Drosophila melanogaster: one gene and its partner. The protein of the gene in region 2 interacts with the protein of the main gene of each other region in a pairwise test. Each region holds a gene or a part of one and is shown on either strand. Other genes may lie near its edges.

Region 1 (8,105 bases), on a different chromosome or scaffold from region 2:
CCAGCTCAGTGGTGCAGACGGGAGTGAAGTCGGCGGGGTGAGAGAAGAGCACCACCCAGCTGGCGATCCGAAGGAGAATTGGTAAGATTCGATCAGAGAAAAAGGGTTTGATGGCACTTACGAGTTGCCCTGCCACTCGTGGAATTTAATGGGCCCCTTGGTTGTGTCGGCCTCGAAGTTAGGTACGGTCTGTCCCAAACGCATCTTGCTGTTTGATTTTTAGTTTCACTTGGAAAAAAACTTGTTAGTTGCTCAGCTGGTAGCTGTTATTAGCTCGCACACTTGTTGCTTACTGAATACTGACTGGGAGAGCTCGCTGTCTTTTATACCCGACTGGATCAATTTGATGAAAGGGGACCGATAGAGACAGAGAACGGGAGCTGGCTTATCGTATCATATATGTACATATGTATGTTTGTATGTATAGTACGTGGTGCTGCGGGTAGACTAACAAACAACTCAGTGATAATTGGGGACATTGTGAGGGGAAAGATGAGGCCTCGTACGGGGTCTCCATATTTGTGTGAACCTCAAGAGGGGCCTTAAAAAAACCTGTTTGGGGCGTCACACAAAAATGGACTCTGTGACGAACACATTTTAGATGTAACGCAAAATGAAGTACAGTTTCGCATATTTCTTTTAATTTAAACTTGTTCGAATAAATCAATCAGTCCAGAACCAATTCCTTCAGGATCTAGTATCAAAACAGCTGATTTGATGCAGTTGACGGTTTTGCCGGCTCCAAACATAAACAGAGAGCGAGAGCGCATTTAAATGTTAAATGGTGTTGGTAAACAGAGGCGAAGCACCAACACCTGCAAACATACAGCCACGCCGATAGGCGGATATTGAGAGCGAGAGAGCGGCGAGCAACGTGATGGTATTTGTGAGTGCCTGCAAAAATCGCACACTTCCATAGATCGCACGGCTCTCCCGTTCACGTACAGAAAACGAGCCTCTAATTGAAAGTGAAGAGCGAGTGAAATCGTGAGACTGTGTGCGTGGGTCTATCGAAAATTAGCACACCAGCATAGGTTTTCTCTCAGTAAGTCACACATAAAGATGGAATGGATTTGGGAAGTCGGATGGGCAGATCGCTCATTCAGAAGGCAAAAGACAGTACGCATGAAAGCAGCCCAAATAGGAATCATATGGTTAAAATTCAATATCTAGTCATAATGGATACCAAAAATGCAACAATTGATAAGTTTAATTAGAAGAGTTCCCTCCCAGTAGCTCGATCGTGTTTCATAAGTTACAAGTACAGTTTTTGTGCTAGTGTATAAAGTCTAATCAAGAATCCAGCAACATTCGTCTCTACACCAGACGTGTGGTAATTTTCCACTGTTTATTATCAGTTACGTGATAGGATTTCTATTCGGAAAGGAAGTAACTAAAATACAGAGTGAAGGTTGAGGCGAAACGAACAAGAACGATTAGAAGAGTGAGATAGAAAGTGTCAAAGCATTTGAGAGAAGCCGTAGAGCGAACCGGTAAATTCTGCAGCATCGATAGTCTGTCAATCGAATCGAATCTTTTGAATTTATGGCGGTTTTTTTTACCAGTGCAGCGATCTCTTAATTACATTCTGGGCAGAGTACTAGAAATCACTAAAGTTTTTTGCGCTGATGCATTTTTAAATCTGGTTTCAATGTAAAACGCGTATGTTTGACATTCGTCATACTTTTATACCATAGGCAGAAGTTTCTAAGTAATAATTGCCCTTAATATTCTTATCGGTATGGCGTAAAGTATGCGCTAAAAATAGATAATATGATCTTTTTTTATAATTTAAACCAATATTTAAAAGATTAAATTAGCATTAAAAAACATAACGAATTACGTAAGGTTTAATTTTACCCAAAAAATAAGATTGCTAGCAATAGTGCAATAATACCCTCCAAAAGTATTGTCAAGGGTTTTACCTAAAAACATTTTAAGATTTTAATGGCACTTTGGGAAGTGTGTTACTGCTTATCAAATTTTGAATTTAGGCGCCTAAAGAGATTTATTCGATAAGAATAATCGATAGCTGCCGAGCGCACTCTGATGTTGTCAGGTGTCGGAATAGATATCGATATCATCGAATGAACATCGGCTTTTGTTCCAGCTCTATAGCATAAAGTCAAAACTTCGTAGATTTAACAACTCATAGCAATCGTTTGAAGGTAAATATAAGGAAATATCAACTGTAGATCCGATCAACAGCATAGAATGACAGCCAAATCGAATTCATCAGCTAAATAAAACCCCAACAAAGATCATTTGCCCCAGCTAAAAAAAAATGATAATTTTCTTCTCTGCGTGTGGGAGCTGCGAGTGTGTGTGCTTGCTGCATGCATATATGCGTGTGTGCGAGAGGGAGAGAGTGCTGCCAGTGTGTGAGCTGGTGCTTGTTTGTGTGTGTGTGGACAGTGACTCGTTGGTTAGAAGGGAAAACAAAGAAAACTTCAGAAAAGTACGACGTAAAAAGGCATTTACAAATGTAGAATAATCAAAACTGACTTGCTAGCAATGTTAAAAAGTGCAGAAAGCATTGGCTAATATCGTTTGGCTATTGATTTTTTGCATTTTCGTGCATGCAATTTTGTAGCTGTAGTTGTTGCTGTTGTATTTTTTTGTGCTGCAGCTGCGCGTCGCAACTGTAAACTGCTGTTGCTGTTGTTGTTTGTATTTTGGGTCAGTTAACGAAAGAGAGTGCACGAGTGATTGAGAGAGTGCGAATGAGGTGAACGGTGTAACGGACAAAGGACATTGCATTTTGGAAGTTGTTTGTGTTTGCTAGCCTCCTTACCCCTCCCTTCGTCACTCCTCACGTATACACACACAGCATCTGCATATGCACTTCATCCGCTCTCTCTTGCTCGCTCGTTGCTGGCTCACTCTCTCTAATTCCTCGCTGAACGTCTCTCTCTCAGCCTCCTTTTGCAACCACAACAAGATAAACAACAACGACAACTCAACCATAACATGGAGAACGTCGAAGAGGCCCCGCCACTCTCTTCGGAGAGCAACAGCAATAGCAACAACAGCAGCGCCAGCAGCAGCTCTCACCAGCTCTCTCAATCGGGAGCCATGGGTGCCGAAATAGCCCCCTCTACGTCTCGGTCACACTCTCATTCGCCCACACCCTCGCCGCCCGTCCCCGCGTCCTCTCACGACCAACCCCATCCCGATCACCCTAGTCCCCCATTGAATGCATCTGAAACGGAAGCTCGCGAGAATTCACCACATGATCACTCACCCACTCCTACTTTCCACCAGACTGCACCGCCACCCACGACTTCATCGACGGCACCGCAGCGGGACGAGCGGGAGCAGCAGCAGCAGCAAGAGGCGCCACCATTGCAGCAGGATCAGCAGGAGAATTCGCCCGCGCAGGACCAGGAGCTGCACCCATTGCTGGATCAACAGAATCAAGAATATCCCGCAGTGCACCAAGATCAACAAGCGGAGCAAAACCAGGAGCTGCATCACATAGAGGGGCTTATTCGGCACCGAGAATCACAGAATCCGGAAGAGCATCCACCACAAGCATCGCTGGAAAACCGGGAGACATTAGGACGAGAAGATACCAACCAAGAACCGGATGAGCCGCAAGTTCGAGATCCCGAAATCGAACCAGAAGCCGAGCCACCGCCACCGCTGCTTCTCGAAGATCTGGACGAGCAGGACTCCGGATCGCAGGATCTTAACGAACAGCAGCCGCCACTGATTATAGACGCAAACGCTATAGCCGAGACCATAGACGCCAACGCCGTGGAGCGCATCGACGACTACGAAGACGACGACGAGGAGGTGGATGAAGAGGAGGAGGTGGTAGAGGACCGGGTCGACAGAGCCGGCGAAGTCGCTTCCGTTTCCGGTGCCCAGCGCCTGCACTCGGTGGCCGTTTTGCCGCGCTACTCCTCAGCCTCACGAGCCCCAAGGAGCAGCAACAATAACAACAACAATATCAGCAATCACAACAACAATAATAACAACAGCAACAGTAACAGCCTCTCGCGACGCACTCGTCACTTCTACAGCAACAACGGCAGTCACTTCAGCAACGACATGTTCCCCAGCCACAATCCCCGCAGCAGCACCCAGACATCATCGCCGCGGGTCGGTGGTCGCCGCCATCACTCGACCCCCGCCGCCAGCTCCAATTCGCCACAGCACCAGGGCGTGGATCCCCTAAGGCTGCTCTATCCCAATGTCAACGAGAGCGAGACTCCGCTGCCCAGGTGCTGGAGTCCCCATGACAAGTGCTTGTCCATCGGTTTGTCGCAGAACAACTTGAGGGTCACCTACAAGGGTGAGTAGGATTCGAACTTCTCTATAAATCAACTCTCCATTTCATACCATCTAAAATAGAAAGTAGGCAACGATCAGGCAACTATAAGATACAGATTTCTTAGGAGCTGTCATAGTTCAATTCTAAATCGGTTTCATATTGCCACTAATACGCACATTTCAATTTCGCAATGAAATGTAATAATTAAATATGCACTTACATAGATATAGTTACATAGATATGGAATAAATTGTAATAAGTTTGTCTACGCTGTAGCCAAGTATGAGTATCCAGGTGGTATAAGTGCCAGAGTTCATGGAGTTTATCTTTATTACAACGATTTGACTTTGTTCTTACATTTTCAAATTTGTATTGATCTAAAGCTAAAGAGACAGTATACAATATTTTAGCCCTTAAATCAAAACACCCGAATATAAGGCTAGCCCCTACTAAATTATTACTTGCATAGTTATTAATTGCATTATCGAAATTATTATTTATTCGAAATCCCATCCACAAAATCTAATATTTGTCTTGAAGGATGTAACTCAATGCAGTAGAAAGAAGAAGAGTCGTAGTGCAGCTGCAGTTTTCACTCTCTTTCGCTCTATCTCGCTCTGGCACACACACGCACAGGGCACAGACAGGTGCTCTCAGCTGTGCACTGGTGGTTTTTGTTTTTCATAACCCACTTCTCCCACGCTCATTCGCGTGGCTGTTAAACCGCTAACAGCAACAGCTGGCTTACCAGTGCGACATAACATGTAAAATGCGCGTAAAATGTATAAGTTATTACGTAGATGGTGCGTTGCATAGATGTAAAATGTATATTTAGGTTACTTTAATTTCAGGTAAAATATATAACTCAATAATTCGAAATATTTCATTTAAATTGATAAAATGTCTCATTATTGTTTCGACGTAGACTTAGGCCAAAAATCAGTTTTTTTATTTAGAGTATCAATTTTATTATTTTTATTGTCCAGATAACCAACTCATTCATTTATGTTAAGAACATATCCCATGTACTAAGTTCGAGAGTAGGAAGTTCATACCGAATGGATAAAAGAATATTGTCTTACTGCAATGCTATAGCATATAAAAATTGAGATCTGTCAAATACTGAAACCTCATGACTTTTTAGGTGTGGGCAAGCAGCACAGTGATGCCGCCTCAGTGCGCACTGCCTATCCGATCCCGTCCTCCTGCGGACTGTACTACTTCGAGGTGCGGATAATCTCCAAGGGACGCAACGGCTACATGGGCATTGGCCTAACTGCCCAGCAGTTCCGTATGAACCGCCTGCCAGGTTTGTGTTCCATTGTGCTGCTCGGCGAGATGTGCCCATGATTCCTAATAACCGCACCCCCCCTCAAGTAGGTTGGGACAAACAGTCGTACGGGTACCACGGCGACGATGGCAACTCGTTTAGCTCCTCGGGAAATGGCCAAACCTACGGCCCCACTTTTACCACCGGCGATGTGATTGGATGCTGCGTCAACTTTGTGAACAACACGTGCTTCTACACCAAGAACGGAGTGGATCTGGGCATCGCATTTAGGGATTTGCCGGTGCGTATTCAATGGAATTTTAAAACTACTTTATCTTCTAACTTTATGTTTGTTAATCTTTTTTTTTTTTGTTTAGACTAAGCTTTATCCCACTGTGGGCCTACAGACGCCTGGCGAGGAAGTGGATGCCAACTTTGGTCAGGAACCATTCAAGTTCGACAAGATCGTCGATATGATGAAGGAGATGCGCTCCAATGTGCTCCGCAAGATCGATCGATATCCACATCTGCTGGAGACCCCAGAAAACCTGATGAATCGGTGCGTTTTTGTTAAATGTGTTTAAAAATCATGGCTTAACCCAATGACTTCTAAATTGCTTAGCCTGGTTTCCACTTATTTGGTGCATAATGCGTTCAGCAAAACCGCCGAGGCCTTCAATGGCTACACAAATCAGACTTTCAACGAGGACTTGGCATCGATCAAGACACGTCAAAGTTCGTATATTTGCCATTTGAAATGACAACACACATGCCAACTTTAAATCCACTCTTCCAGAGATCATTAAGCTTATACTGACTGGCAAAATGAGCCAGGCCATCGAACATACACTACGTTCTTTCCCCGGACTCCTGGAAAATAATAAAAACCTCTGGTTCGCATTGAAGTGCCGCCAGTTCATTGAGATGATCAATGGAGCTGACATTGAGGTGGGTTTTTAAACATTACATGCGGAAGATAAGTAGAACCGGATGGTTTGTCTTACAGAACGTGAACAACAAAGTCACCGCCACCACACAGACCATGCCCACAAACCAGACGTCAGTGATACAGTCCACCAAGACGTTCAAGCACAGCAAGAGCGGCAGTGGAAATGGCAACGTCAACATAAATCAGACTCAACAACAGAACAACACTGCGATTCCAGCTGTGATAAAGCCACAAGGCGGCGATAGGCCAGATATAAAAAAGTAAGTCAAATGTAATACTTACTCCGATCTTTAATCACAACGTACTGTTCAAGCATGTTGGTTGACGACAACTCCAACAAGTGCGTGGAGCACGACAGCAACAGCATGGACGTAGAAATGGAGCCCTGCCAGAGTCACTCCAACGGCGGCGACTCGAGCTCCAATGGCAATGCCAGCGCAGTGCGCAACTCTCTAGATGCCATCGACGAGGAAATGGGTATGTATCTATTGGCGGCATTTCCGGGAAGATCCGTAATCCCTAGCACTTGCAGATGTAGATGTTTCCCCCTCATCGCGTAACTGTGGTCGTGTGATCGAGAAGATCCTTGAGTTCGGCAAGGAACTGTCCAGCATGGGCCAGCAGCTGGAGAAGGAGAACCTAATGACTGAAGAGGAGCGTCAAATGTTGGAGGTAAACTATAAAAATGTATAAACAATAGAAACTGGTATCTTGCAGACTAAGCACTCTTTGTATTTGAAAAATAACTTCAATAAGAATATGATTATCCGTAATCGAGAGATATTCAATTTATGGTTGTTACAGGATGCATTTAGTCTGATTGCCTACTCTAATCCTTGGTCCAGTCCGCTGGGCTGGTTGCTGTGTCCCTCGCGACGTGAGAGTGTTTCCACCACACTCAACTCGGCCATATTGGGTAAGTCTTTAAACACTTGTCTCGAAACGAAGTTACTAATTACTATGATTATGCAGAGTCCCTGAACTTCGAGCGTCGTCCGCCGCTGGAATACCTGGTGGCTCACGCCTCGGAGCTGATCAAGGTGATCGGACAGCACTCGCTGGGCGAGGACGCTTTCATTACCATCGACGATGTGTTCCCGCAAAATTGACCCAGTTCCCCGACGCTGCTGAAGATGTTCGAGACCACGCTGACCCTGCCGCGAACCAGTGTGCTTACGGAACCGTTGGGCAGCGCCGGAACCGGATCTGGGCCCTCCACATCAACGGCTGCCGTGGCAGTTCAGACCAGCAAACGACGCCGAAGGCGGCGTAACAAACGTCGCCGCAAATCCTCCCTGTCCAGCAATACCGATGCCCCGTCGTCGCGGACCTACGATCCCGTGATGACGGGCAGTACGCTCCGGTCGGCAGCTGTGGCATCGGTGGGCGGGGGCACGGGCACGGGACCAGTGCGTCGGGGTCGTCGCAGGAGCGGGGTCAGCTCATCTTCATCGGCGGCAGCGGCTGCAGCAGCGGCAGCGGAGGAGGAGGCGGAAGAAGCGGAAGCGGAGGCGGCTCGCCAGGAGGAGGAGGAAGCGGAAATCTTGAGCGGAAACAGCAGCCCATCGATGTTCGTCGATCCGCAGGACTTCTTCGAGACACTGGAC
Region 2 (4,235 bases):
AACACAAATAAACTCTATGTTTAGTAACTATCATTGTGGCTTAAGTTTATTTAGAAAAAACACTTGGTATTGAAGGTATACATATTTCAAAGCATACGTATTTAATTTGCCGATTTTTTTTATAAATGAAACTTAAGTGGTATATAGATTTTAAAATGCCTACGACTAAAAAATGTTTATCCAGCCTGAGGAATATTGTGTTTGATTTTCAAGTAAACCCTATAACTTTCTAGCTTTCTGTTCTTTTCTGATCGACACATATCAAACTTTGTTTCTATAGCACTTTTAATTAGTTTTTAAGAATTCCAAAGATTATTGACTTGGATAGAGACTTGCCTATATTTCTGAACATTCGTAAACTAAATTAAAGTTTTTCCAGGAATCTGGCATCCATCTCCTCCCCAAATTGTTTCGCAACATTTTTAATTAGTTTTTATCTCGCTCCATGTGCCGTTGCTGTCATCTGATGGATCTTTAGCATAAAGTGCAAATGTAATTCAATTTCGATTTCCCCAACGTACTGCTGCAGCTGACAGTTCAATTCCCGATACTTTTCTGGTTTTTTATTTGTGTTCGGGATGCAAGTGTCTCTGAAAGTTATTTGCTGTCGCTTGGCTCTTGTTTGCTGGTTGCTCACTGGTGGCGCGCCTTTTGCAAGGCAAATGAGCGCCGTGCCAAATGCCACGCCCCGAAACGCCCACGCCCCTCTACCCACTCCAAAAAAAAAAACAAAACAAAACGGGGGAAGGCTCTCAAACAATATCTGATAAGCTGCATCAAACATTTGCATACTTCCGGCAATTTGTTTTTGTGCGAGCCAAACGAATCGAGACAAATGCAATAAGCGCAGAGCAACAACAGCAGCTATGGAAAATGCGATAGAAAAAATGATAACTGCCAAGATTTTTCAATCAACGAAGAGATTATACACTTTCTTGCTCAAATGTAACTGCTATTTGTGACCAAAAATTACAGACAAAATCCAGAAATTTTATGATTATTCGAACGTTGAAGATTTTAGTTGTGGGAATTTCGACACTGTGGGCACTTCATGATGCACTATTTCCCCTAAAAGGGTATTCAAAGCACAAACAACTCAGGATGAAACCGAATTCACTGGCGCATACTGTCCGATTCGGTTTCGGATTCATATTCAGAGGCGGAGATGCAGGATGGTCGAGTAGTGCATACAAATTACGCCCCGAAACAGTGCCACGCCCCTAAAAACTCCCTCAATAACTCCGCCTAGAACACGTCCCCGGAAAACAGCCAGCCCCTCCCCCACGAATCGGTTTATTTAGGTGCCTCGCCTGTGACTCGCAGCAAGTTGTTTGCCATGTGCTGTGAGCTGAATGCGTCTTTACCAGCCAAAAATATTGTTAGCCATAAATTTTTGGCAACACAGCGGAACAGAGGAGCGCACAAAGAGCTGCAAAAAATGTGCATCCAACATCGAGCAGGAAGCGCTGCATTTGTAGTCACAAATTCCGGGGCATTTGTTTAGAAACTTTGTCCGCAGTCCGCGACTGAAACACGCCATGTAATGTCAACTTGATTCGGGTCCAAACAAGAGCTTCCACTTGAGGAAGTTTGCAGCTCAGCGGAGCGAACCCAGTGGCAGATAGATGTGTCGAGGATCCGCTTTTGTAAATATACGAATTTGTGTACATAAATTGGGCACATCGTTCAGGGGATCAAGGCAACAGGGCTAACTTCCATCACAGTGCAGTTCGAGTTTCAGCTCAGAGCAGGAACAAATTTACACCGACACACAAAACCACTGCTGTCAAAAAAAAAAATAATAAAATAAAGCGAGAAACAAATAAAAACAAGCTCTTTACAGTAAAGGCTGCTTTCGCAGCACCTTAATCAGAAAAAAAAATAAATGAATTATTCACAAAAGACTATTTAAAAACCACGAACAGCAAGATGAGTTTGACGGAGATGATGCGGGGCAAATCGATGCCAGCGGAAAAGAAGAATGACATCAAACTGGCCCAGCATGGTGAGGTGTTTAGAAATCTTAAGCAGACTTAACTAAATCTATTGTTCTAAATTAAAATAGCAAAATAGCTATTCTTCTGTGTTTATTACAACCATTTAAAAAGTCTGCTTAATTACAATATAAAAGAAGTGCGTTCAGACAAATACCTTTTATGTGCGTTTATAAGAAAACATTGTATCTTTAAATTTGGGACACAAAACACTTGTGTCAATGTTTAATCACATAATTACACCTTCTGCGCCTAGAATTTGCAACCGTGAGAATAGTGCAAATCGGATGTGTTTTAAATGTCCTGGCCGAGGCCATCGAACGGGTTAAGATCTCGCTAATCATGCCGAAACTGCTGGAACACCCCGCGCACATGGCTAAGATTCTTAATGGAACCAAGTACGAAAAGGCAGTTCACCTGGTGGAATCGTTTGTTCGTCGAAGGGAGTTCATTCTGCGGGAGAAACGTCCGCCCCTGATGGATCACGGCATTATCCAGATCATCGATTTCTTCCAGCGGAACAGCAGGATCTACCTTCTGTTTCCCAGCTACTACAACCACATGAGCGACAACGAGAAGAAGCTGCTGAACGCCTTCGAGATGCTCTATGATCTGGCCAAGGACCGCTTGTACAGGACGTCCACCGACGCCATCGCCCAGGAGCGCCAGCTGCATGCCATGTACAAGCAGAACGAGGTGGTCAAGGAGCAGGTGGAAGAGCTGCGCAAGAAGATCCTGGATCAGAAGGCGGCCATCAGGAAGAGCTTGGCTGATAAGGAGGCCTACCTGCAAAACTACGAGGACCTCCTCATGAAGAAGAAGAGGGAGAAGAACGAGCGAATCCAAAAGGAAATGTGAGTGATGCTCGTAGAAAAAATAAATGTTCCTTTAACTTATCAGTTTGTACTCTCAGCGATCGGTGCACTCGTCTGGTAAAGGCCAATAAAAAATTAAGTTTAGAGCGACAAGCTGATTTGGAAGAACAGCTGCAAAAAACGCGAAACAACTATAACTTAACCACAAAAAACTATTTAAAACAGGAAAAGGTGTTTCGAGAGGAAAAGTAAGTGAAACTGGATTTTTAGACCGACAATATTTAGATAACATCAACAATTGGCCAAAATCCTTAGAAACAAGCTGATTTTACAACTACAAGCCATTATCAAGAAATACGATCACAGCATTGGCGAAAAGATGATCGAGAACATGGAGCTCGCCGAAGAACACAAAAAGGCTAAGAAGGCCCTCGACGAATACATGATTGGGTTCCTGAAGGTTGAGCGGGTCTACAAGCAGATCGTCGTAAAGCGAGAGGAAGAGGAGGCCAGGCACCGCCAGCATCGTGTCCTGTTATTCGCCATGAACCGCGCAGCCATCAAGATCCAGAAATACTGGAGAAAGTGGAAGAAACACATGCGCAAGAAGAACAGGCGAAATAAGAACTGAAACCATTTTGAATAGCCAAAATTTTAAGTGGATACTAATTTTTGGTACTAATTGTAGAAAATAAAATTTTAGAATTATTTTTTTTGGACTCTACATGAAAGTATGTACATTTACCATGTGTCGACAACTGAAATAGCTGCTAAAATTCTGTTAATATGAAATATTCATCCTGTCACTAACTGCTTTCGACCAAGCTGCATTAGCCTATTAGAGGAAAACTAATTTCGCTTTTAATCTGCCGGCTGGCAAGCCACAAAGACACCTCGAACTTGCCCCATCTCTTCCACTATCTGCCCGCCATGGTGTGTCATTTGCATTTAAAATGTGTGAGAGAGGTTTCTATTTTAGCTGCCCTATATTCCACCTTTTTTCGGTGTGGAAAATGCATTGAAGGGGGATTTTTATCACAATGTGCAGCCGGAATGAGGGGACATTGTGTAATGCGATGGGGCTAAGTGCAGCCAAGTCAATGCCAAAACTGCCGGGCCAATACGGCAGGGAATTTTGTGGCTCATGGTGAAAGGGGGAAAAAAAGAGCGGGACAGCTGGACAACCCAAACGCCTGGTTAGTTTCGACCATCGAAACGAATGAACGAACACCACCGTATATGCAAATTACGCGCACTGCTCATGCCCTGTCATGAATTGTCACCCATTTTCCAACTGAGATGCTTCGACACGCGCAGGGTGGGTGGTGAAACCCCTAGCGGTAACGGGAAGGGTTGGGTAAATGGGGAATGGGTGTGGGAAATGTTCCTAACCAAGAGGTAGATAGACCGCAAAACAGCCAAAGGC

What was found.
Region 1: the proteins of CG1137 (region 2) and RanBPM interact in a two-hybrid assay, tested with the Drosophila melanogaster proteins (one large-scale study listed by BioGRID).

What each region holds. Positions count from the first base shown.
Region 1 is NT_033778.4:10,427,616-10,435,720, forward strand, and holds the start of RanBPM (Ran-binding protein M), read left to right. Parts: upstream 1-2,096; 5' UTR 2,097-2,168; intron 2,169-2,389; exon of another isoform or gene 2,390-2,458; intron 2,459-2,918; 5' UTR 2,919-2,970; coding exon 2,971-4,300; intron 4,301-5,423; coding exon 5,424-5,588; intron 5,589-5,656; coding exon of another isoform or gene 5,657-5,659; coding exon 5,660-5,850; intron 5,851-5,926; coding exon 5,927-6,108; intron 6,109-6,171; coding exon 6,172-6,284; intron 6,285-6,345; coding exon 6,346-6,497; intron 6,498-6,555; coding exon 6,556-6,758; intron 6,759-6,811; coding exon 6,812-6,975; intron 6,976-7,021; coding exon of another isoform or gene 7,022-7,030; coding exon 7,031-7,170; intron 7,171-7,302; coding exon 7,303-7,414; intron 7,415-7,470; coding exon 7,471-7,607; coding exon of another isoform or gene 7,608-8,105. Other genes in the region: CG12896 (uncharacterized protein), read right to left, coding at 1-59, 122-204. UniProt on the Drosophila melanogaster protein: May be involved in JAK/STAT signaling. Isoform D is required for the proper arrangement of niche cells and is autonomously required for proper niche cell size, isoform C negatively regulates the adhesive properties of the niche.
Region 2 is NT_033777.3:6,557,920-6,562,154, reverse strand, and holds CG1137 (uncharacterized protein), read left to right. Parts: upstream 1-1,803; 5' UTR 1,804-1,929; coding exon 1,930-2,005; intron 2,006-2,250; coding exon 2,251-2,848; intron 2,849-2,907; coding exon 2,908-3,057; intron 3,058-3,124; coding exon 3,125-3,440; 3' UTR 3,441-3,537; downstream 3,538-4,235.